Drosophila melanogaster: one gene and its partners. The protein of the gene in region 2 interacts with the protein of the main gene of each other region in a pairwise test. Each region holds a gene or a part of one and is shown on either strand. Other genes may lie near its edges.

Evidence for each region.
Region 1: the proteins of LManIV (region 2) and spz6 interact in a two-hybrid assay, tested with the Drosophila melanogaster proteins (one large-scale study listed by BioGRID).
Region 3: the proteins of LManIV (region 2) and Tif-IA interact in a two-hybrid assay, tested with the Drosophila melanogaster proteins (one large-scale study listed by BioGRID).
Region 4: the proteins of LManIV (region 2) and CG13731 interact in a two-hybrid assay, tested with the Drosophila melanogaster proteins (one large-scale study listed by BioGRID).

What each region holds. Positions count from the first base shown.
Region 1 is NT_033778.4:24,755,464-24,760,998, forward strand, and holds spz6 (spatzle 6), read left to right. Parts: upstream 1-1,914; 5' UTR 1,915-2,031; coding exon 2,032-2,052; intron 2,053-3,034; coding exon 3,035-3,333; intron 3,334-3,393; coding exon 3,394-3,720; intron 3,721-4,120; coding exon 4,121-4,751; 3' UTR 4,752-5,003; downstream 5,004-5,535. Other genes in the region: Usp15-31 (ubiquitin specific protease 15/31), read left to right, coding at 1-510, 575-625.
Region 2 is NT_033779.5:8,768,625-8,774,061, forward strand, and holds LManIV (lysosomal alpha-mannosidase IV), read right to left. Parts: upstream 3,721-5,437; coding exon 3,637-3,720; intron 3,574-3,636; coding exon 3,203-3,573; intron 3,146-3,202; coding exon 2,675-3,145; intron 2,625-2,674; coding exon 1,793-2,624; intron 1,730-1,792; coding exon 551-1,729; 3' UTR 535-550; downstream 1-534. Other genes in the region: LManIII (lysosomal alpha-mannosidase III), read right to left, coding at 1-45; LManV (lysosomal alpha-mannosidase V), read right to left, coding at 4,380-5,437.
Region 3 is NT_033779.5:22,248,326-22,252,897, reverse strand, and holds the start of Tif-IA (Tif-IA), read right to left. Parts: upstream 3,023-4,572; 5' UTR 2,800-3,022; coding exon 2,584-2,799; intron 2,527-2,583; coding exon 2,045-2,526; intron 1-2,044.
Region 4 is NT_037436.4:17,383,136-17,390,697, forward strand, and holds CG13731 (uncharacterized protein), read right to left. Parts: upstream 5,822-7,562; 5' UTR 5,613-5,821; coding exon 5,610-5,612; intron 3,328-5,609; coding exon 3,259-3,327; intron 3,200-3,258; coding exon 893-3,199; 3' UTR 501-892; downstream 1-500.

The DNA of each region.
Region 1 (5,535 bases), on a different chromosome or scaffold from region 2:
AGCGAACTAACCGCCGAGTCCAAGACCAATGGCCACGTGAGCTCTTCGTCCAGCTCTTCCTCCTCGGAAAGCTCGCTATCGTCCCGCTCCTCGCCGCGATCATTGAGTACTTCAGTCACAGCTGCATCTACTCTGCAGAGCAAGTTCAACGGCCACATGAGCGCCGCTCCAGCTCTTTTCAATGGAAATGGAAATACGTCACAGCTCTCGTCCAGCTTGCAACTATCCCGGCATGTGCTGCACAACCATCAATGGCACGGATCTAGGAGCAGCGTGTCAGCTGTAGAGAATGCTACGCAACATCAACAGCAGCAGGCGGCGGCCAGTCTGAGCCTTCGTCATTCGTTTTCCACAAGTTCAAATTACACGGAGACACTATCATCCTTGCTACGCAAATCAGCAAATACATGCAGCAAGGACACGCTGCTGTTTATCGACCAACAGAGTCACCATCATACAGCCGGACTGATCGAAGATGACGATGATTCATACATGGGCAGGTCCCTTTGGGTATGTCGAGATAGTTGTAGAATACCTGGAGGCATTCTTACTAAATTTATACGTCCTGTTACAGATATCGCCCGTAACGCCACACAAACTCATCACTGTTTCGCCCAAGAATTAGATGCGATATTATAATCCATATGGATGTATACTTTGGTAAAGAAACCCGAAAATGAAAGCGAAGCCGAAACAAGAATATACAAAACGCACTATAGCCATAAGCCTAAGGTTTACTTTATATGATATTTCTTAACCGGAGCTCCCGAGCGATAAGCTCGGGATGAAGATGTTATACAACTTTGTTTAATTTAAGATACGTACTCATATATACGATACTTGCAATACTGCATAACGTTTGAAAGTTTGATAAAACTTAAATATATTGTATAAGCATTAGACTATTTATTCAAAGCCAATGACGAGGATTAGTTTTCTTTATATTTCACCGAATTGACGAAGATTTTTATAACCTAACGACTACCGATATTTATTTAGCCAAACAATGAAGTACAATTTTATTTGATTGAGTTTTTCGTTCAAACTATAAATCTTCTTGTATAATTCCCTAACGATTTTTATGATGAAGTGCTTGGCATGCCTAAGTTAAGCTTTTTTTACATGAAACCAAGTTTCGGACTAAAATCTATGAGCATAGTTATAAATGTAAGGACACGTATTCTCTTTAATTACGATTACTTTGAATTGTACATTAATCTATCTGATTGTAACTTTTCCACAACCAAAAAATTCTGGCACAACTGCATATGATTCTTTCGATTCGTTGTCGGGCTACGTTTTGTGAATCGTTTATAATGCGGATCTATATACAAACATATATATTTCTTTAAAAATAATGTATTCTATATGTAGACGAAAGCATTACACCAAAACATTATATTGATAAAAAATGTTTGAGGACTCTACCACATTGTTTTCTGGAGAGAAAGAACTTTATTACGGTGTAAAATGTTCATTGTATTCATAAATAAACGTGAAGTTGTTGAATATGAAGTATGATTTGGAAGTGAACTAATAAAAATTAAAAAAAAAACACTTGGCTGGGGTTAGGAAGGTCTCTTTATTGTTGCATAAGCATCAGTTCTCAAATATTGTTGAATCCTGACATGTTCCGAATTCTTGTAATCCTGGATCGCAATATTGGCCATTTTCTTATTCATAACTGACGTATTAGCCAGATTTTCGTCATTGATGGAACGGATAGAACTCGACAACATTTTTACATTGTATTGAGCCGGAAAGTATGCTTCTGTTTTGGTTTTCATACTTGGCTCTCTCAAAATATGCATAATTCAAAGTAAAGCTTTCTTTCTTTCCACTTTCTCATGCTCTGGCTAGTTTACCGGGCTTACAAGCAGCCAGAGGTTCAACGTCTGCAGCGACTTGGTCGACAACTCAGTTCAGTTGGTGCACTTGACGCGTCTGGTTCTGCTTCCCACCACTGCGGATTAAGCCAAGCCTGACGAAGGCCAAGTCCAAGAACCTTCTACAAGAAGCAAACGAGCGGAGATGGATTATCGTCTAGTGCTGGTATGTCATCATTACGGGTGTGCTAACTGCACACTTTTTCTATGGCTCGCTGGTCAAGTTCGTTGCCCAAGTCTTTTGTTTTGCAATGCGTTAACATTGGCGAGCTAACCGCTTACGTTTACTGTTACTCAGTCCCTGGGAACCGCCCGATTCTGGAGCATGCTAATGAATTAAGCTAACCAAAGAGCAGCGTACGTTCCGATCCGTTCTGCCCCTTCTTCTAGTTCGGTCTTCTAACTACTGGCTTTTGGCCGGGTGCCGAGCAACTTTCCCGTTAGGCGTGTGGCACGCATATTGGGAACAGAGCGCCAACAAGTTCTTTCCTGACCAGATCAAATCAGCCTGTCTTGGCCCCGAAAGGCGGTTAGGTCTTCATTCTGCAATTGAGCTACCAATATTTACCTATGCAAATTGTGCTCTTTCCATTTGGGAGCTCTCTCGCAGGGCAAACAAGTTTCTGCCTCATTAGAAGGGAAAAAACAAAAGAACGAGCTTAGCGGCTGACCCGATTTTGGATTCCCCGACGCCGCATTCAAATTACGCTGTGAACCGTGTCACAAAGAGAGAAATTCCACAGCTTCTTGGCACTGCAGCCGCCCACCGATCTGTACCACTTGACCTGGATTACTCGGGTCTGTCCGTGGAACTTTTGGTTTCATTGAGATGCCACTGCCCAGAACTTCAGGGAAAGTTCCCTCGAACAATTAATGGTCAAGTGAGCACAGCGGAGAGATGCTGAAGTGGCGTCTCGATCGCAGTTGCTGCCTCGGTTTGTTTATCTTCACAAAAACAGAAACAGAAACTTTCGCGCTTTCGCCAAACAACAAAACATCGAAAAGTGTATGTATGGCCGGGTAAAAGATCTCGATTCTTTTTCCGGACAATATTGGGCCATTCACCGACTCTTCTGGGCAATTAACTCGACTCCAGACGGCTACGGCCACTGATTGTACCTCCACTGTGACTATCTTTTGTTTTGTAGAAAATTCTCAGCTTTCTGCTGCTGGCCCAATTGGGTTTCTCCCAGCCGCAGCAGCAGTCGCCATCTGACTACGGTGAGGAGCAGCCTCCGGAGGGTTATTACGCCTTCGTCGAGTCCCCGAATGCGGTGCCTCCCAAGGTCAGGCCGCCACCTTACACCTTTGTAAATGCGGAGTGCAAGGACGTGGCCGCCGGCAAGAAGTCTGCCGTGTCCGTTCACAACATTTGCGGAGATCTAAACAAGGGTCAGATACCCAAGAATCCGCTGGGACAAAATGTACTCGGGGAGCCCTATCCCTTGTAGGTGAAAATATTTGCGTAACAAATTTCAGACATCTCTAATGTACACCTCCTCCACAGCGAACTTATTCGCAACCAAACGCTGAAGTTCCTTTCGAAAACTTTGCCCGTTCTAAAGGCCGACGATACCCTACCCAAGGTCACCCAGATCATTCGAGATGAACCCGTGGAACAGCTGGACAGCAACAACATCGACAGGCCCTATCCCGCAGGAGGTTCCACTCGCGTCCGCCGCAGCCTGCCGGAGGGCGTGGAGTCCAACGAGTACAGCTACTTCGATCCCGCCCTGGACGAGGAGGAGCAACACAAGCAAAGGGATCGGAATAACCAGCAGAGAAGGGCCGCCGAGGAGAGGAAGCCAAGGAAATTCTGCGATGGCGGTGGAGTGTAAGTTTTTAGCATGGAAACGGGGGAGTAGAGTTATTCCAATCTTAACTGCTACATAAATGAAAGATAAATATATCGTATTTCTTAAAGCACGGGAAAGGCGCGCATATAAAGCTAAAGAGGTCACCACTTAAAAATTATGAGTCATCTTTATAAAATTATAGATTCGAAGAATTATCAAGGCAAAGAACCCAAATGAGCTTGTCATTTCACTTTCCACATCATAATGTAAAGCCATACAACTAAAGAAGCTCAACACTTTAATCGACATCCATAGATATTGTAGAATAGGTTAAGAGAGGAGTACATCATGGGGTATTCAACTGCTTAGCATTTTGACGACACAACTGCGTGCAGGTCAATTAATAAAAGATTTTTAAACTTTTAACTCCACCCACAGATTTTGCACCTTATACAGGGCAATTCAGGGAGACACCGGAGGAGCAGCCCCTGCCACGCCCACTGCGGAAAGGCGCGAGGAGGTGGGTCCCATCCGGTACGAGGGTCCTCCCACTCCCTGTCCCGCCAAGGTAGAGTACGCTACTCCCGTCTTCGCTAAGAACTACCAAGGCGCCTGGCGTTATGTGGTCCAGATTCCCTATGAGGGCTACTTCACCCAGACGGTGGAGGTGACGCGTTGCATTCAGGCACGCTGTCACTACCTGGACGGCGGTTGCTTGTCGTCACCACGCTGGGTAAGCCTGTTGGTGGCGGAGATCTTCTACCCCAATGCGGAGGACACAGTGCCCACCAGCTCGACCACCACTCAGGCCCCTTCTGTGCAGGATTTCCAGGCCTACCAGCAGTACCTGCAGAAGAGGGCAGGCGTGGCTACCGCCTCCGACGGAACCTCGTCTGGAGCAGCCGGCCCCGCGGCGCAGGTGGACGCCCACTGCGATGGACACGATGAACTGGGCTGCTTCCAGGTGCGTCTCTACTACGACTGGTTCCTCATCCCCGGCTCTTGCAAGTGCTGGCGCCCGGACTACTTCGCCAAGTACGTGCGCCGGAAGTCGGTGGCCGAGTTGTGAACACTTCCTGGACAGGATTTTCGAAGGAAATCCTTAGAATAAGACTAAGTTCTAGCCTTTAGAGGAACACAACTTTGAGGTGAAAGGCTCATTCTAGTAATCCACCCGGGTGCCCCACAGCCCTATACGGATCACGCAGAGTTTGCAGTTCGTGCATCTACCAGATACAATCTTAACCTAGGCGGTTAGCTCCCTCTTTCGACTGATTAAGCCAAGAGCAGTGCATTTCTACTAATAAATACGTTTCTACCTAATCATAAGAGAGCCTCTCTATTCGGCACTTTGCTGAGACTGCGATGTGGTATTGGCCTAGCCTGTGTGTGTTAGCCTCCTGGAACTCTCTCAGCTGCGCTTGTGTTGGAAGATCCACCGAAAACCCACAGAAACCAGTCGCGCAAGTTGCGCATGCGTGCGAGACTCGGGCCCAAAACCTCGGCCGCTGATCTAGTGTGCAGTCAATATAACCAGTTGGTTGGCTTTGGGTGTTTTGGCCGGGGATCCAAGCGACCGAGCTGCATTACATACACAGAATAGTTGCAGAGTTTGCGCAGAAGCCTTGACGAACGGCCTCAAAAGGCTGCCAGACGAGCCGCGGACTCGGATTTCAGGAGCCAATTTTCCGCATAGCTTGGGTAAGTCAGCCAAATGGAGGGCCGTCTCTTTGTTTATAAACAAAATAAGCAACCAAAGTGGACTAAGGTACAGATGCAGCTGCGATAATAACATTGAGTAAACTTGGTACTTGAAGGCAAGAAACTAACAAAATCATTCATTTGCACGTCTC
Region 2 (5,437 bases):
GGCAAACAAGGCCAACAAAATGGCCAAGTTCTTTACAGAACTCATCTTGCAGAGTTCCCTAACCAGCAACTGCACAACAAGAACTGGCTATACAATAAAAGTTGCCACTTTTATAAACTTCTCAATGGGGGGTTATCTGATAAGTAATCAACACTTCAGAATGTTTTGAATTTTAACTAGTCGAGAGAGGTAATTAACTTAAAACCAACCGCTAGTGAGAGGTCTCAAAGGGTAAGTACCATGCGTTTTATTTGGGCCACATGCAGTGCTCCAGTGTTTCTAACGTAATCAAAATGTACTTCGATTTGGCATGAATTGCAATTCTTATCATTCAATAACTTAAATGGATTTTAATTGGTAATTGCCCACTTAAAGATTACAATGTGTATACTATTGCGAGCACCATTCCATTTTGGGATTACACTCAAGCGAGCTATAATCTTCAGGAAAGGGAAAGCTCCACATGCAGAAGTAGCCGATAATGATTATGACCCCAAAAAGATAAGAATAATGTAATTTTAATTTTGATCATTTATTTCTTATACTTTTCTTACTCTGTTTTAATAATAAAAGTGCGAATTTGCATAGGATATAGTGTTACAGCAAAAAGTGAGGCCTCATCCGATTTGACAGCCTCAAGTGGCTTGTGCTGTGCCGTAGAATATTCCACGGATGACGGCTTGGTTCCGGATTCTTGTGCATGGAACTTGAATCGCTTCATATCGCTCAGTGGCATATTTCCATCCAAGGTTGTTTCCCTAATCGCCAAACCGCCAAGACTATCGAATATATCCCGAATGTTGAAGCTAATCACCCTTCCTTCAGATTTATCCAAGAAGTGTTCAAAGCGGATCAAAATTTCTTGCTCTGAGAAGAATTCCAGGGTGAGTAGGTGAACGGATTGCGGAAGATCATTAAAGTCGGGAAGGGATTTGGATGGAGTTATTTCGACTCCACCAGTTTTGCTAAAGAACTTCCAAAAGGGAAGGAAGAGCTCTTTCTCAGTCTTACGTTCCGTCACAGTATCTCCATCTGTCGCGGAATCGAGAATGAGGTAAAGTTTTCCTCGGGCAATCAGACCTTTGCCATATTGCGTCTCATTCAGGGCTTCACCCACTCCACCACCGTCGTTGAAGAGATGACGACGATGGATCAGCATCTCTAGGGCACCATCCTCCAAACTGGCTCCACCCTGGGAGCGGTCATTCAGGAGGACCAAACGCTTGGTATCGTCTTGAAGAGCAATTCTCGATGTGACTGGATAGAAGTTTCCGCTCACAGGCTGTCGGCTTAAGTCGGAAACGAAGTCCTCGCGTTTATCCTTCACACGTTTCATCAATTCACGTCCATTTGAATCGGTATAGAAAACTCCGTTCGAAGAAATCTCACTCTTAAAGTTTGTCACAAATTCACTACCTAGTTTATCATCGATGGGAATAGGGCCCACCATCCACTCCAACTCCACTCTGCTTACGCCCTCGTAGATACGGATCACTTGCGAAATCCAGTCGTTCACATGCTGATGGACTTCCTTGACCAAACTTCCTTCATAGACTGTGAACTCAAAATCATTTTCAAACAATTCTATATCTCCATCCTGGCGGAATGTGTAGGCGCAGGATGTGTGACTCTTGTAAACGCCAAAGTTCTGGACTATTTTCTCAGACACACCGTTCATTTCGACCGACTTCAATCGTCCTGTATGGTTGTCCATCACTAGTTTAACAACCTATGGGTTATATATCGTAGGGATAAAAAACATTTAAGTTATTAGACAATCAAATGCACTTACCGAGTTTTCTACAACAGTCTCTGAATTGTTATCTTCTCTGGGATTAATCTTCTTTATCGATGAATGTTTGACCTCTGAGCTCTCGACTTTTTTGATAGAGTAACTGGATACCTTATTTACCGTTGCCTTGAAAACTAACTCGTGCTGGGTATCATTGGATCTGTACTCCAATGCCAAAACTTGCCACGGCACTGGAACCACCTCCGATGGAACTGTTCTGCCCTTCTCATCGGTTACTTGATAGTTCTCCTCCTTAACAGGAATGCGAACATACTGAGTGGAGCTGTGGGCCAGGGGATTGTATAGGGTCACCAAAACGTTATCAGCACCATCCTTGGTGAAAGCACACTCGCTGATGTTCAACCTCAGGCAACTCTCAAACTCTCCATAAGGCATGTTGGTCAAAAGACGCAGGGCATCGCGGGCATTGTTAGATGCCCCAACAATGGCCTCGTACATCATTCGATCATAGTCATCCGAGACAGCCTGCTTCTCCGTGCCCGTAATGGCATCATGATGTTGCATCACTCCCATGACCTGGCGCAGATAATCCAGGTCTATTTTATGCTCTTCGCTAGTAAGATTCGCGAGTACAGAAAGCTGCTTGGCCACCTGCAACATGTGATTTCCATCACGCTCGAATCGTTTCTGAGTGGGTCGGGAAGTAAAGAATCCAGTCCAAAAGCTATTCTTCTCGTGAGCGTATGGGAAAAAGTCCTGAGTCTTGTTTGGCCAGGACTCTAGGCTCTGGTGCAAGGAGTTCAGATAGCAGCTTGGAGTGGAGTAGAAGATATTGTATTTTGAACCAGACGCTTGACGTTCATTGATGTACCTAACGCAAAAGAAAGTTATAAACGATTTGTGTTTCTTAATCACACCTACTTGATCAGTTTGTCCATATTTTTGTAGTTAACTTTTGCGTCCTCGTACTGGAAATCACCGCCCATAGGAACCATGATGTGATTAGTGATATACACCTCAGACACATTCTTTGCATAACTTATAAAGTCATCTACCCTCTGTTTCACATTATTTTCTTCGCTGTCACCATCAATAATGGGCTGATCAGTGCAAAGTATGTCGAAGCAAAAGCCTGGAGTGTCCGAGTAAAAGTTGTACAACATGCCGCTGAAGAGACTGACGCCGCTCATCGATTCACTGGCATCCCAAATCATCTCCATTGTCAAGTCATTCATACGTGTGTCCTTGTCGTTATGATCCATTCGTGAAAAGAACTGTCCATCGTAGCCCATGTGCGCGAAAATTGCAGCCTGCTCGCGGGAGTGTCCAAAAGTATCGATCTGCCAGCCAACTCGAGGACGACCACAGGAGCCAAACGTCTCGTTGAGGAACCTACGAAGATTAGAGTAATCAAAGACTAAGGAATATTAGTGTTTCTAATTAACCCACTTTAATCCCACAGTGAATTGATCAATAACACCCTGGTAATTGACATTTGCCTCATCGTTCATACTCCAAGCTCCGCCAGTAAACTCGAAACGTCCCTCGTTGACCAGTTTGGTGACCACCTTTTTCATGGACTCTGACTGGACGTTCCACCACTTGGCAAAGAATGCCGTCTCCACCTGAATGAAACGACGCTTGGGATCCTGGAGGAGCTGGGACACCACACTATCCAATATATATTGGACACCGGCATGATGAATTTTGTTCTTGTAACCATAATAAGACTGATCAACTGTCTTCAACCAGCCCACATCGTTGTGGGAGTGAGGAACCAAATGGATGTTAACCATGTTCGCTTTTGTTTCGGGACATGACTGCAAATAATATCAAAGGATATAGTGATATCATTTTGAAAAGCATCAACAAATTTATATTACCTCATAGCCACAAACTGCTTCGGATTGTTTTGCGAAGAGCACCAATAAGATGGACAGGAATAAAATGCGACCCAAATAAGTCATCTTGTCATTACCAAGTACTGAATTCCCATTAAACCAAGACTGCTCCTTTATAGGGCGCACCGTTTCTAAGAAGGCATTGATAAGAAAATACATGATGGTCACTAAGATAAGGTAACCTAATTAGCAATTAGTGGGTTATTAAAAACTTGGTGAATACTTTTTTTTAGAATGCCCACCCTCCACGTAGCGATAAGAATTGGACCCATTATTTATCAACCACTTCAAGGATTGAAGCTCCTGAAATGCACTTGCGCCCTTATTGATAACTTAGCGTATTGAAAAAGAATTTAATATACATTTTTTTAAATAAAAATTATATGATTGAGACTCTCTGTAGTGAGTGGGAAAGGTTTCTGCACACTGCTTATAAAATAAAAGTAATCAACAGTCATAAGTAACTTGAATTATATGAGGCCGTAACTGTTAATTCCATATAAACATGGTAATACTCCACTAACTTCTAAAGTAAAACCTCAGAGTTAATTGGGTTAAACCCGTGCGGTTAATTGAATTTTGTAAAGTTTTAAAAAATTTTCATATGACTCGTATTACTTCCCTGTATGTATGAGGGACTTATTTCCTAATAAGTTAAAGCAAAACAACAGTGTTTTTATTCAGACATAATTTTATTTATTTCTTTGATTTTCATTGAAATACAATTATTCATGTTTAATGATGAATGTTCGAATCTGCATTGGATACAATGTGACAGCGAACTCGGCGGCATCTTGCGTCTGGTTAGCGGACAGCGGCTTGTGGGACGAGGTGTAGTACTCAGGTTCTGATCCCCTAATTCCTGAACCCTCAGCGTGGAACTTGAACTGCTTCATGTCACTCAAGGGCAGGTTGCCATCCAAGGTAGTTTCGCGGATTTCGACTCCGTTCAGGTAGTCAAAGATCGGGCGAATGTTAAAGCTAACCACTTTGCCTTCGATGTGATCCTTGAAGTTCTCCACACGCAGCAGAATCTCATCGTCGTTGAAGGGTTCTAGGGTGAGCAGATGCACCGACTTGGGGAAGTCGTCAAAGCTGGGAACCGACTTGGCAGCAGCGGTGGTGCTTCCAGTGTTCTTGCTGAAGAACTTCCAAAGGGGCAGATGGAACTCCTTTTCGGCTTCGCGCTCGGCGGACGTGGACTCGTCGGCGGCGTTAAGGATTAGGAACACCTTACCACGGGCAATCAAGGGCTGGCCGTACTTCTCCTCATTCAAGGCCTCTCCCACTCCATAGCCATCATCACGGACGAGTCGACGGTGCAGCATAAGTTCAATTTGGCCATCCTTCATGCTGGTGCCTCCTTGAGCACGATCGTTTAGGATCGCAAGGCGCTTGTTGCTGTCCTGCAGAGCAATGCGCGATGTGATGGGATAATAGTTTCCGGAAGTAGGCTGGACAGCAAGCTCGGGGGTGAAGTCCTCTCGCTTGTCCTTTTCGCGTCTGATCAACTCGCGTCCATTGGAATCAGTATAGAATACGCCATTGGAGGCAATTTCACTGCTGAAGATAGTTACTACTTCCGTGCCAAATTCCTCTTCAACCGGAATAGGGCCTACAAGCCACTCGAATTCCACGTAAGGCTTGTCCTCGCTGATACGGATGACCTGCGAAATGTATTCGCTGAAACGCTGGTGAACTTCCTTGACTAAAGCTCCATCGTAAACAGTGAACTCGACACCATCTTCCTGGATGACGAAGTCTCCTTGATTGTACTGACGGA
Region 3 (4,572 bases), about 13 Mb from region 2:
ATTCTGATCCAACAAAGCGCACAAACAAAAATTTATCTAACAACATTTGTGACGAAAAACGTATTTCTTTTAAATTTCTACATTTTTCACTTTCTCCGCTTTATTCTTATTTATTATTAGTCTTCGTATATGTCGGGCATCAACCGCAGATTATCAATGCTTCTTGAAAAGTTAATAATGAATATAAAACATTCACGAATCAGATACAAAAATCACTTCATGTGAAGTAATTCAATTCGTTAGTGTTTCGGAAGCTCACAGAGATATAACAGAAAGAAATTCGATTACATCATATTTATTTCGTAATTGAGGTCTAGGAAAAATTCCAGGAAATTACAATCCGTGCAAAATTTTGGATTCGGAAAAATTGAATTTTAGATATTTAAAGGCTTCAATCGTTTGCCCATGATTGCCCACCAATTAGTTTTTTTTTTTGCCCACGTCCATTTTTTTAGATATAAATTTTTAAAAAAGTTCGAAAATCAAAAATTTCGCTTTTATTAAAAAAAATTTTTTATCGCAATAACATCGTTTGCCCACCCTATCGAATTTTGAAAAAATGTATACTTTAGAAAATATAAGACATTCAAGTTTACCTCGGTCTACTCAGAGAATAAAGCGTTTGACCAAAGACACTAGAATAACAAGATGCGTAACGGCCATACATTGGTTTGGCACTATGCAGCCACTTTTTTGGTGACGGCCAAAATTACTCTCTTTTCGCTCACTCCCGCTGAGAGCGTAAGAAATCTAAAAATATAATTTGGTTACTTGTGTGAGTAAAAACAAGAGACGAGAACGCGTATGTGTGCGTGTTGTGCTAGAAGACTATTTTCGTTCCGAAATCAATTCTGATCGAAGAAACGAATTTACATTGTACATATTAGGGTAGTTTTTGCTAATTTCCTAGCAATATGATAAAATAAAAAAAATTTTAAAAATTCGCGCCCTGACTATTATAATTTTAAAGTTTTTTAAATTTGTTTGTTAAAATTTGTTATGTTTAATTCTAATTTGTCTCTCATCTGACAATTTTTTAAAAGCGAAATATTTTTTTTTAAACACTTTTAATGTTAATGTTACATCCTTTTAAGTCAAATGACTTAATAAATATACTTATTAATAGGAAGTACAATAGAAATTATTATAACTACTGTAATTTCATAAATTTCATAAAAATATGATAACTAGAATTATTCTAGTGTCTTTGCTTTGTTCATATCTTGAGGCACGAAGTGCGGACACAAGCACTCAACAATCATTGCCTTATTAATTTTTCACACGCCTCAAGATGAATACTCTAATGACAAATATTCTTGAAATTTATTTTTGTGATAATATGTACATAGATTTGGCTATTTCTATTCTATTCTATCAAATAATAATAACGTTAAGGCAATGCAAAACAAGAATTTTTCGCATGGTACTAATTGATCAAAAATAATATAGATTTAAAGTCAAAGAACTTTGAAGGTGAAGGGCATATTTTGTCAAATTTACAATGCATGAGCATACGTGTGCACACATACAGTTGTCTGCTATCACTTTATGTGTGATTCGCTGTAGCGCTCTCAGCTCTCTCGCTCTCTAACAAAAATTCGAGAGAGCCTGGAGCCATCTATAGAGCCACGGCGAAAAAATCGTGGCGAAAAACGTTTAGACCGAGGTAAACTTATATTTTCTAAAGTATACATTTTTTCAAAATTCCAAAGAATGGGCAAACGTGGACAAACGATGTTATTGCGATTTAAAAAAAATGTTTGAAAAAAGTAAAATTTTTGATTTTTGAAAATTTTTAAACTCTTTCGAAAATTTATATCTTAAAACCTGGACGTGGGCAAAAAAAAAAACTTATTGGTGGGCAAACATGGGCAAAAAATGGGCAAACGATTCCAGCTTTTAAATTTCAAAAATTCGATTTTTCCGAACCCATCTTCTTTGAGCTGAAGAGTTTAAATCATTTTGACTTAAAAACAACAAGGACTGAGTGTAAGGTATAAATCAGCAAGCTTTATATAAATTAATAAATTAGTAAAGTACTTACTTTTGTAAAACTAGTTGAAAAACAAGTTCTTCGAAAATAGGCTTGTATTCTAATAACCAAAGCACGTTATACAGATACCCTGCCGTCACATGGTACGGCTTTTTGAAATAGGGGAATTTGGCGGATATGGCATCTATGATAATATCGAAAGCCATTGGCACGGCAGTTAAGATGCGATCCAGTACTTTATGGATGGGTTTCAACTCATTTCGCACGTGCTCCGAAGGGCATCCGTGGACCCAATCGGATTCATCCATATCTCCAGGAATCCAGTGGACAATTAGTTTAGAGACTCCAATCGGTAAATATCTATTATGGGTCACCATTAGTTCGATACAAAATTCAGTATAAGCTTCGATTATCTCTGAACTTCTTTTCTTCCAGTTAAGGGACAGTAACGCCTCGACAACGGTTACAAATTCTGGAGTCAAATTATGAACAATTCGTTTAGCATCTTTTATGATTATTACAACCTCATCATCCTTAAAAAAAGAAATCAAACGTAAAGAATAACCAACAATTATGTTAATTTAACTTACGCTGAGTTCTGCTTCCCGGAGGAAGTATGTGAACTCCTTGACCAGATGGAAATTTCGTTCTTCTAGGGCAACGCGCACTGATTCTGCGAGCCCCTTCTCTTTGGGTGTGGAAAATCGAACTTTGTTGATGGCCACGGCATTTGCCTGATTTCGTTTTACGCCAGAAAACGTCTTTAAAATGGAAGTCACATCCGTCTTACTCGTGTAGAAGGACATATTAAATTAATAATAGCTTTATTTCTGTTTGAACTTAATGTTCGAAAGGATAATCCACACTGACGTAAAATGCATACAAATAAGTTCTAGATAATAAATTATTTTTGAAAGAGAATTTCATTTTTATTTTTAAAGCACAAATCGTAAGAATTTTACTTGGAAATATGCACGTTGTTTTGAGTTCCAATAATCAGTGTGGCCATAGAATTTCGAAAAATTATACCGCACACCCTCCATAAATACACGTTCTTTACTTTTGCTTTTTAACGTGCTCATTGAGCAAAATTTAATGTTAGTCTAAATTAAAAAACTCGTTTTATTTAACTAATATACTAACCCTCAAATTCTTTTTTCCAAGCCAAAGATAATAAATAGCTTTTTTTTTAAATTTTCATCACCTAGACGCATAGTTATTTCTAATCGGGACAGATTGACAGAGAAATTGCTATTTTTGCTTAATTTTGTATTAAAAAGCGTTCTGTCCTTGATGGTGGAAGAATATTTGACATCCCAGTTTAACCATTTTAAGGGGCTAACGCTACAGTCAATATAATAGACGTTTTAAATTTTCCGAAACATCGATATTTATTGTAGACTATGGATGCTATTAGGATCATCGCTATTCGAATAACAAGAAGAAGACCTAGAACGCTAAAGGTATGCCGAAGAAATACAAAATCAAATACAAAATGTACATATATAAAAAGATATCCTTAAAATGCAACTGTTTGAACAGCTCTCACTGATTTTTAATTTTCTAATATAACCAGTTATACCAGTTTAAATCTAATTGATTTTATATTGTAATTTTATTATACGTTTTATATTTAATTTATTCTACATATTAAATTAAATGAATTTAATAATATTTAAATCTTTTTTCTTATATTTCAAGTGTAAATGATAATATTAATTTTATTTTAGAGAACATCGGAAAACTTCGATGTTACATCCACGATTTTTGTGAAAAACATCGATGTTTCGCGCTGAAACTACTACAATCTTTGAAATTAGATTCCAGAAAAAAAAAAAACAATTTATCCTATGACGATGAATTATGCGGATCTCGCCTATATAGATTCATATATTTCTTATTAAACTATTTCATTACGCTAAGAAATGAACAGTGTGGCATGTACATATATGCTGTTAAATATTTATATGAGTGGCTTTTATAAAATTAATTATTAATTATTATTCGGTTTTTTTTTTACGATTTTTTCGATATGTAAAGCGGACACACGAAATGAAAAGTAAATGCCTTTTTTCATATTAAAACAGAACTTATTTACTCAAGAGAAGAAATAGTTTACTCAGTGGTCTATTGATGCTTATTGCACATCATAACAAGATCATTCTGCCACTAATTTATTTAATAAAATTTTTATTGCTGACGCCACTTCAGATTTGACTAACAAAATTTTGATGTCGGCAACAAAAGTTTGGATTTGTCAAGGGGTCAAACATTGTTGGTGAAACGAAACAGGCATATAAAATATATAGAAGGAATTCATTAATTTATTTAAAGGAGAGCCAATAGTGTTGTTTGTAAATAATTCTATTTGATTTAATTACTTAAGTGGTCAAAGTGCCACAAAAAAGAAATTGCGGACATCGTAATTAAAACTATGAAATATGTGGCAGCTATGTTGTCTGGAACAGCTTAAACAGCTGTTTACCGCTGAATGCATATTGCGATATCCAAACTATAGAACAAATTTTCCAAAAGCAGAGCACCTAAAAAAGAAATCAAAAGATTTTGGCTAAATCGAA
Region 4 (7,562 bases), on a different chromosome or scaffold from region 2:
AGTTCAAATCACATTTTAACTATATCTCAAATTTGACATTTAATTATAACCTAAGGTTAAATTATTTCATATTTCATGAAAATATACATCGCTCATAGTAAACATACATGTATTTAAATACCTACTCATACGAACTTTTCAAACCTATTAACTAAGCTAACGTGTTTCACATCCATAACTTAAATTAGTAGAGACCAGAAGTGGAGGTCAAGGTTAACTGCCTAACCTGCACTTTGGGCGCTTTATGACTTGCAAGCAACGATCTCCTTTGCATAGTCGTTAAAACCGACTTTTAAGATAACTCCCAAAAGAGGAGGAACCCACGAGACCAACCAGACCACAAAATCTCCCGGACATGGCTTGATCCCATTTCCCGGTTAGGAGTGAAAAAGAAAATATGTTATTATTGTTTGGGTTTCAAACATCGCACATAACATAACAGGACCGCATGTAATTTCCGCTTCCCAAAAACAGATGAAAAAAATGCTTGTAAATATTCGAAAAACTTATTTTATTGTTCAGGTTTCAGCGATCCGAATTAAAAGTTTATTTAATCGTAATATAGAGCTATATAGTCTTGAGCTGGCGTCCGTCACAGACGACGGCCGCCCATCGATTGTAGAATAGTGATAGAACATAGCAAGAGTTGGATAGACTGTTAGCTGTACAATTGGGGCACTCATTTACAATGATCCCTAGCTGTATGAGTATGCGATTCATTAATTACAAAAATAAAATAAAAACAAACAAATGTCGTCCTTGCAGGCGCACCAGTGGCGCCCTCTAGCACCGCTGGCGCCGGATCGTGTAAAGTTAGACTGTACGAGAATTGACTAGATCAATCTAGCCCTAGACGATGGCCCTATCCCTAATCACATCTGGATCTCTAGATCTAGAAGTTGAAGGGGATGCTGGGCACGGGGTACTGGTAGCCCTGGTGCTTGGTGGGTGCGGGTGGGACGTAGACTGTGGTGCGCTGCGTAGGGGGTGGCACGTACACGGTGGTGCGCACTGTTGGTGGTGGCACGTACACGGTGGTCCTACGAGTGGGTGGTGGAGGAGGTCGGGTGGTGCGCACAACAGTGACGGGGGGCAGGTAGGTGGTTGGTGGCTTAGTTGGTGGCCGAGTGGGTGGTGGAGGAGGGCGGGTGGTGCGCACAGTTGGGGGAGGCAGGTAGGTGGTTGGTGGCTTAGTTGGGGGCCTCGTGGGTGGAAGAGTTGGCCGAGGAGTGGTACGAACGGTGGTGCGAACGGTGACCGGTGGCAGAGGCTTGTTGGTGGGTGGCAGGTAAGTAGGAGCCGGGGTTGTCAAACGACGAGTGGTGGGTGGGTAGGTTGGTGGCCGGGTTGGTGGGCGAGTTGGTGGTGGGGTGGCACGGGTGGTGCGCACGGTAACGGGAGGCAAGTAAGTGGTTGGTGGCTTAGTTGGTGGCCGAGTGGGTGGTGGAGGAGGGCGGGTGGTGCGCACAGTTGGGGGTGGCAGGTAAGTGGTTGGTGGGCGAGTTGGTGGCTTGGTAGGAGGCAGAGTTGGCCGAGGAGTGGTACGAACGGTGGTGCGAACGGTGACCGGTGGCAGAGGCTTGTTGGTGGGTGGCAGGTAAGTAGGAGCCGGGGTTGTTAAACGACGAGTGGTGGGTGGGTAGGTTGGTGGCCGGGTTGGTGGGCGAGTTGGTGGTGGGGTGGCACGGGTGGTGCGCACGGTAACGGGAGGCAAGTAAGTGGTTGGTGGCTTAGTTGGTGGACGAGTGGGTGGTGGAGGAGGGCGGGTGGTGCGCACACTTGGGGGTGGCAAGTAAGTGGTTGGTGGGCGAGTTGGTGGCTTGGTAGGAGGCAAAGTTGGACGAGGAGTGGTACGAACAGTTGTGCGCACGGTGACTGGTGGCAGTGGTTTGTTGGTGGGAGGCAGGTAGGTAGGAGCTGGAGTCGATGCACGGGTTGGTGGTGGTGGTGGCCTAGTTGGAGGAGGGGTTGGGGGGCGAGTTGGGGGACGAGTTGGTGGTGGGGTGGCACGGGTGGTGCGCACGGTAACGGGAGGCAAGTAAGTGGTTGGTGGCTTAGTTGGTGGACGAGTGGGTGGTGGAGGAGGGCGGGTGGTGCGCACAGTTGGGGGTGGCAGGTAAGTGGTTGGTGGGCGAGTTGGTGGCTTGGTAGGAGGCAAAGTTGGACGAGGAGTGGTACGAACGGTGGTGCGAACGGTGACCGGTGGCAGAGGCTTGTTGGTGGGTGGCAAGTAAGTAGGAGCCGGAGTGGTCAGACGACGAGTGGTCGGTGGGTAGGTTGGTGGCCGGGTTGGTGGGCGAGTTGGTGGGGGGGTGGCACGGGTGGTGCGCACGGTAACGGGAGGCAAGTAAGTGGTTGGTGGCTTAGTTGGTGGCCGAGTGGGTGGTGGAGGAGGGCGGGTGGTGCGCACAGTTGGGGGTGGCAGATAAGTGGTTGGTGGGCGAGTTGGTGGCTTGGTAGGAGGAGGAGTTGGACGAGGAGTGGTGCGAACAGTGGTGCGCACGGTGACTGGTGGCAGTGGTTTGTTGGTGGGAGGCAGGTAGGTAGGAGCTGGAGTCGATGCACGGGTCGGTGGTGGTGGTGGCCTCGTTGGTGGTGGTGTTGGACGACGAGTGGTCACTGGTGGCGGTGGCTTGTTGGTGGGTGGCAAGTAGGTTGCTGGAGGACGAGTGGTTGGTGGCTTAGTTGGGGGCCTCGTTGGTGGAGGAGTCCTTGGTGGTGGTGGTGGAGGAGGCAGGCGGGTGGTCACTGGTGGCAGTGGCTTGTTGGTGGGTGGCAGATAGGTTGCTGGAGGACGAGTGGTTGGTGGCCTAGTTGGCGGCCTCGTTGGTGGAGGAGTCCTTGGTGATGGTGGTGGAGGAGGCAGACGGGTGGTCACTGGTGGCAGTGGCTTGTTGGTGGGTGGCAGGTAGGTTGCCGGAGGACGAGTGGTTGGTGGCCTAGTTGGGGGCCTCGTTGGGGGAGGAGTCCTTGGTGGTGGTGGTGGTGGAGGAAGACGGGTGGTCACTGGTGGCAGTGGCTTGTTGGTGGGCGGCAGGTAGGTTGGTGGTGGCGTGGGAGGCCTGGTGGGTGGCCTGGTGGGTGGCCTAGTAGGAGGGCGCGTTGGCGGCCTTGTTGGCGGCTGTGTGGTGCGGACGGGCAGATCGAATGGAACATCGGGAGGGGGGTAGAAGTATCCCTCGGCGGCACGAGTCTTGCGCTGTAAAAAGTGGCTTGTAAGTTCCTGTTGGCAGGGAATCGTCAGATTTCCGCACTTACCTCATGGTTATCGGCCGATGCGGTGGCCACAGCCACAACGCAAAGCGCCAAGACGAACAGTGCACTTCTCTGTGGGGAAGGAACGAAAAACACAGCCTGATTAGTGATGCTACATATTGATGGACTTCGATGGTGTCGCCGTACAGAGGTGCTCAGACTAACGACTGGCTCTAACAACCTGATTGCGACTAATTGATCGCCTTCTAGGCTAATCGCCTATTCACGCTTCGTGGCAACTTGGTCGGGGTCGGAGGAGGCAAGGCAACTCCGCTGGCCTGCAGTTCAAAACTGTGGTAAAGTTCAGCCAACAAACAGCCAAGCTGGCGAATCGATTTACCATAATGCATTGAAAATCACCCGAAATGCTAACGCAGACATTCAACTTTGACGGGCATTAGCATCTCTAGGTCAGTCCCCTCCCCCGGAGCTATGTATGTAAATATCGCAGATTGACGCGATTGATACATAATGCCCATGCAAATGCGGAGCGACACAACAGATCCGAAGCTCAATGGGGATCCGAGGAAGTAGCCCCTGAATTATGGCTTCCGACGATGCTGTCAGCGGGTTTATTTGCATTTGTCGCTGGAGTTTCGGCAAGGTCATTGTTAGTTAATGAAAGTGCTCGTCGATGGCCGCAGATGGCCAGTGTCGATGAGCTCAATTAATTGGCTGACGGAGAATTTTCGGGGGCTATAAAAATAGCCGATTATGAAAGAAACCGGCCCGGATCCGGGCCCCAAACTCCAGACCAGTTCTAGCCATGATTATATAATAATCAGCAAAGACTGGCCATAAAACTAGTGAGAAAACGCAAAATTAGCATACGCATCTGGCATGCGAAGAATAGTAAGCCCCGGTTGTCATTTATAACCAAATCTGTTAGATTTTAAGCCATACCTCCAAAATCGACTGGGTCCAGTTTCATTTATTTTTTTTGTTGGTTTCTGATTGTTTGCTAATTTCAAAAATATTTGATCTTTGTATGTAAATGATTTTAAATAATTTATGCTAATGAACCTAAAATTTTTGCTGTTCTAACTTGTTTTAAATATCAGCCACAATTGAGCTGAGGATATCGAGAACCAAATCGGGTTTGACTTATGGCGGGTGGTGCTTAAAGGTTAGAAAGTGAAAGGACTTGGAGAGATATTTGCAGGGGCAAACCGATTCCCTCGACTGTTCAGTGAGCTAATTGGCAGCTAATTAATCTGATTCACACCGCCTCGAGGGCAGAGCCCCAATGCCAAGACTTTTGGGGCAACTTTATTTTTCCGAAACTGTGAGAGATTTGGGTGAATTAAAGTCTGGGGAAAAGATCAGTCGGCCCTTTAACAAATGAAATCTTCTTTGGCAACAATGATGGTGATTAATGGACGTCTATTCAATGGCAACGTCAAGAATCTAACTTAAGGCAACGTTTTTATGGCTATTTACCTAAATACGCCAATCGCAAATTGCGACTAGCAAATGTCAGAAGCAAAAGCGAAAATTATGGAAAAAAAAACAAGTTTTAATTTCATCTTCAGCCATGTCAATGCTGACATAGAAACTGCCGCCACATGGCAGAATGCACATGCAGCTGGTCCATCCTAATGACTTAATACGCAAATTGCGGATCGCGCCAAGGCGATTTGCTCTGTGGGCGGCCAACACGGCGTATGCGTAACATTGCACTCGATGCCACTTGCTCAATTTCTACATGGCTTAAATGTCAACCGCCATCTGGTCAACTCTTAACTCGCGATGATAGCCCGGGTCCAGAGCTGGACCCTCGACAAAATGTGAAATGCAAATAGATGGCGATTGAATTGGAACTGCAGTCGGTGTTGGCAATTTATTTGCTATTTCTTCTTGTTTGCGATGCTTGGGTATGCACAGAGAAAAATCGGAATGATTTTGAATGAACTTAAAGGCCCTATCTTATCTTATAACCCTTTTTTATGATTGTATCCCTATAAAATTGTAGAACATGCTTTTTTAGTATCCTTTTATACAAGTTCGGATTAATAAATTTCTGAAGATCTAGCGCTAAATAGCTGACACATTATTTTAACACAAGAAATGTTTTAATTTAAAATTAAAGTTTGAATACAAATATCATTGAAAATTCGTATTCGTTCAATTATTTTCTGTACTGTCACAAGCCCAAACTATAAAACGTGGAAACTCCCTAAATATTTTGGACCAACAAAACTGATACTTTTTATCTTCATCTGCACTGCTTTTCCTTTGCGAAATGTCTGTCTTGTTTGTCTTCACACCGAGGGACACTTGTTTCGTTATTTTGCACTTTGCACACGATCATTGTTCGTTTTGGTTTAGATTGGATTGGAACTGGGTTCGGTTACCATGGTGTACACTTTCGGACTGCTACAAACGGCAGTTGCGGTAATCCCGGGTGCGTAGGTAATCCTAGGCGGTGTGCGTGAATAATCCTTGCGGACGGTACTGTGAGGATCGGAAAGGAGAAGACGCGACCGATCGTATCAAATTCAATGGACGATTGAATTTGATCGATGCCAAGCTAAGTTGGTTTAACTTCTAGGTCGAGTGTGGAATACCAACTAAAGCATCAAAACTTGTAGATTTTCTATATATACTCGGACCCAGCATCTGCCCACTTGGGCAGCGGCGTCGGCAGAGGCATCTTCACCTGGGCGACAGCTGTTAACACACGGCCAAAAGCCGAAATCGAAAGCGTTTTGGCCAGATGAAGATGAGCCGAATACGAAGTCTCTGCCGCTGCTGATGCCTCAGCCTTCGTCGACAGCGACGCCGACAGCTGAATGCTGACCAGAAAGCCAACCAGTCTCGGTTGTTTGATGTTTGTGAGTTAACAGCCAGATAACATGGCTAAGACAAAAAGGCAGCCAAATTAAGGCCCAGCAATTATGGCAGAAGAGCAACTAAGCCAGACGCACCATCCGGCCATCCGACCATCCATCCACCAACGCCTGCTCTTGTTGGCATTTCTATTTAGCCAACTCCGATGGCTGGCAAATATGCTCGTACTTTTGGCAGAAGTCTGCGGCGAGTGTTAAACACGTTGTCGTGCAGCATTTAATTTGGTAAATGGGTCCGAGCCACCGAATTTCATCAATCGATGAGACAAGCCGAAGCTGGCTCGACGATCGAGAGCCAAGTCAAGGCTCCCAACGAAGCTTGCCAAGGCAAATAAGGCCGAGAAGATCAGGCGTTGGCTAATGGCACTTACCCCTCGGATCAGGCCTAAATGCAGTTGGAGTTGCGAGTCGATGTTGGAGTTGGAGTCGGCCAATTGAACATGAACCGGTTGACTTGGCCAAAAATGCGTGTGCCCGGGGGTCAGCAGATGGCAGCCGGAGTTGAATGTTAAGGTAGGCTCAGCTCGGCTCAGCTCATCTCTGACTCCGTGTCAGCCGAGTGACCTTTAAACGCACACTCGAAGATCTCGATGATCGGTGATCGGTGATCGGTGTTCAGTGCTGCATTCTTCGAGCGACTCCCAAACGGGTTTCGGCATTTGTCATCGCCTGCATTTCGCCAGTTTAATAACTAGAATTTATTTATTCGCAAGCAGTCACGTCTTGATTTTAATGAACCAATCAGAGTGACACCCACTGGCCACGCGCAGTCATGAGCGGGCCCAAAATAGATGTGACTTTGAACTCTTTCGGCCCAAAGGTGCGTGGTCACTGGGTAGTCAGGGTCTAGATAAAACGGCGGAACAACACCCAGAGGAAGTGCAGCCGAACGGAAGTCACCCCTGCGGCCATCAGACGCCACTTAGAGCCACATTAATTCTTGTCTTTTATTACATAATTGCTGGCTAACTTATTCGGGTCATAACTTGCTTCGCACATCTTCACAAAGGCAATGACACTTGGCGGCGACTGCTGACATTTCAAATTTGTCATTGCGGATAACTGAAGCGACTGAATTGTTTTTATTATTTTTTTCTTTTTTAGTTTTTGGCTCATCGAATGCTTCTTGACTGCCGGCTAGAGGAAAAGCCTTTTTTTGTCACCTCATCCGACATTGCAACAGACGATTATTCAACTTCCATACCGAGTGTCTGATAATTTGCTGCCTCAAATTTTGGACTCCACTGAAGGACGTTAGCGGTTTTCGAATCAAACAAGACCGTCGCTTGAGCCTGTTCTAAACCGCATTCTAGACAGGTTGCTATTTGGATAATTTAAAAATATATTTGTTAATCTAGGGAAGTTTCAGAGCTCGTATGTGAATTGTTATGAGCCTTTGTCTTCGGGCGCGGAAATCATAATATCTAGTTTTTCATTATGTTTTATCAGAATGGAGAT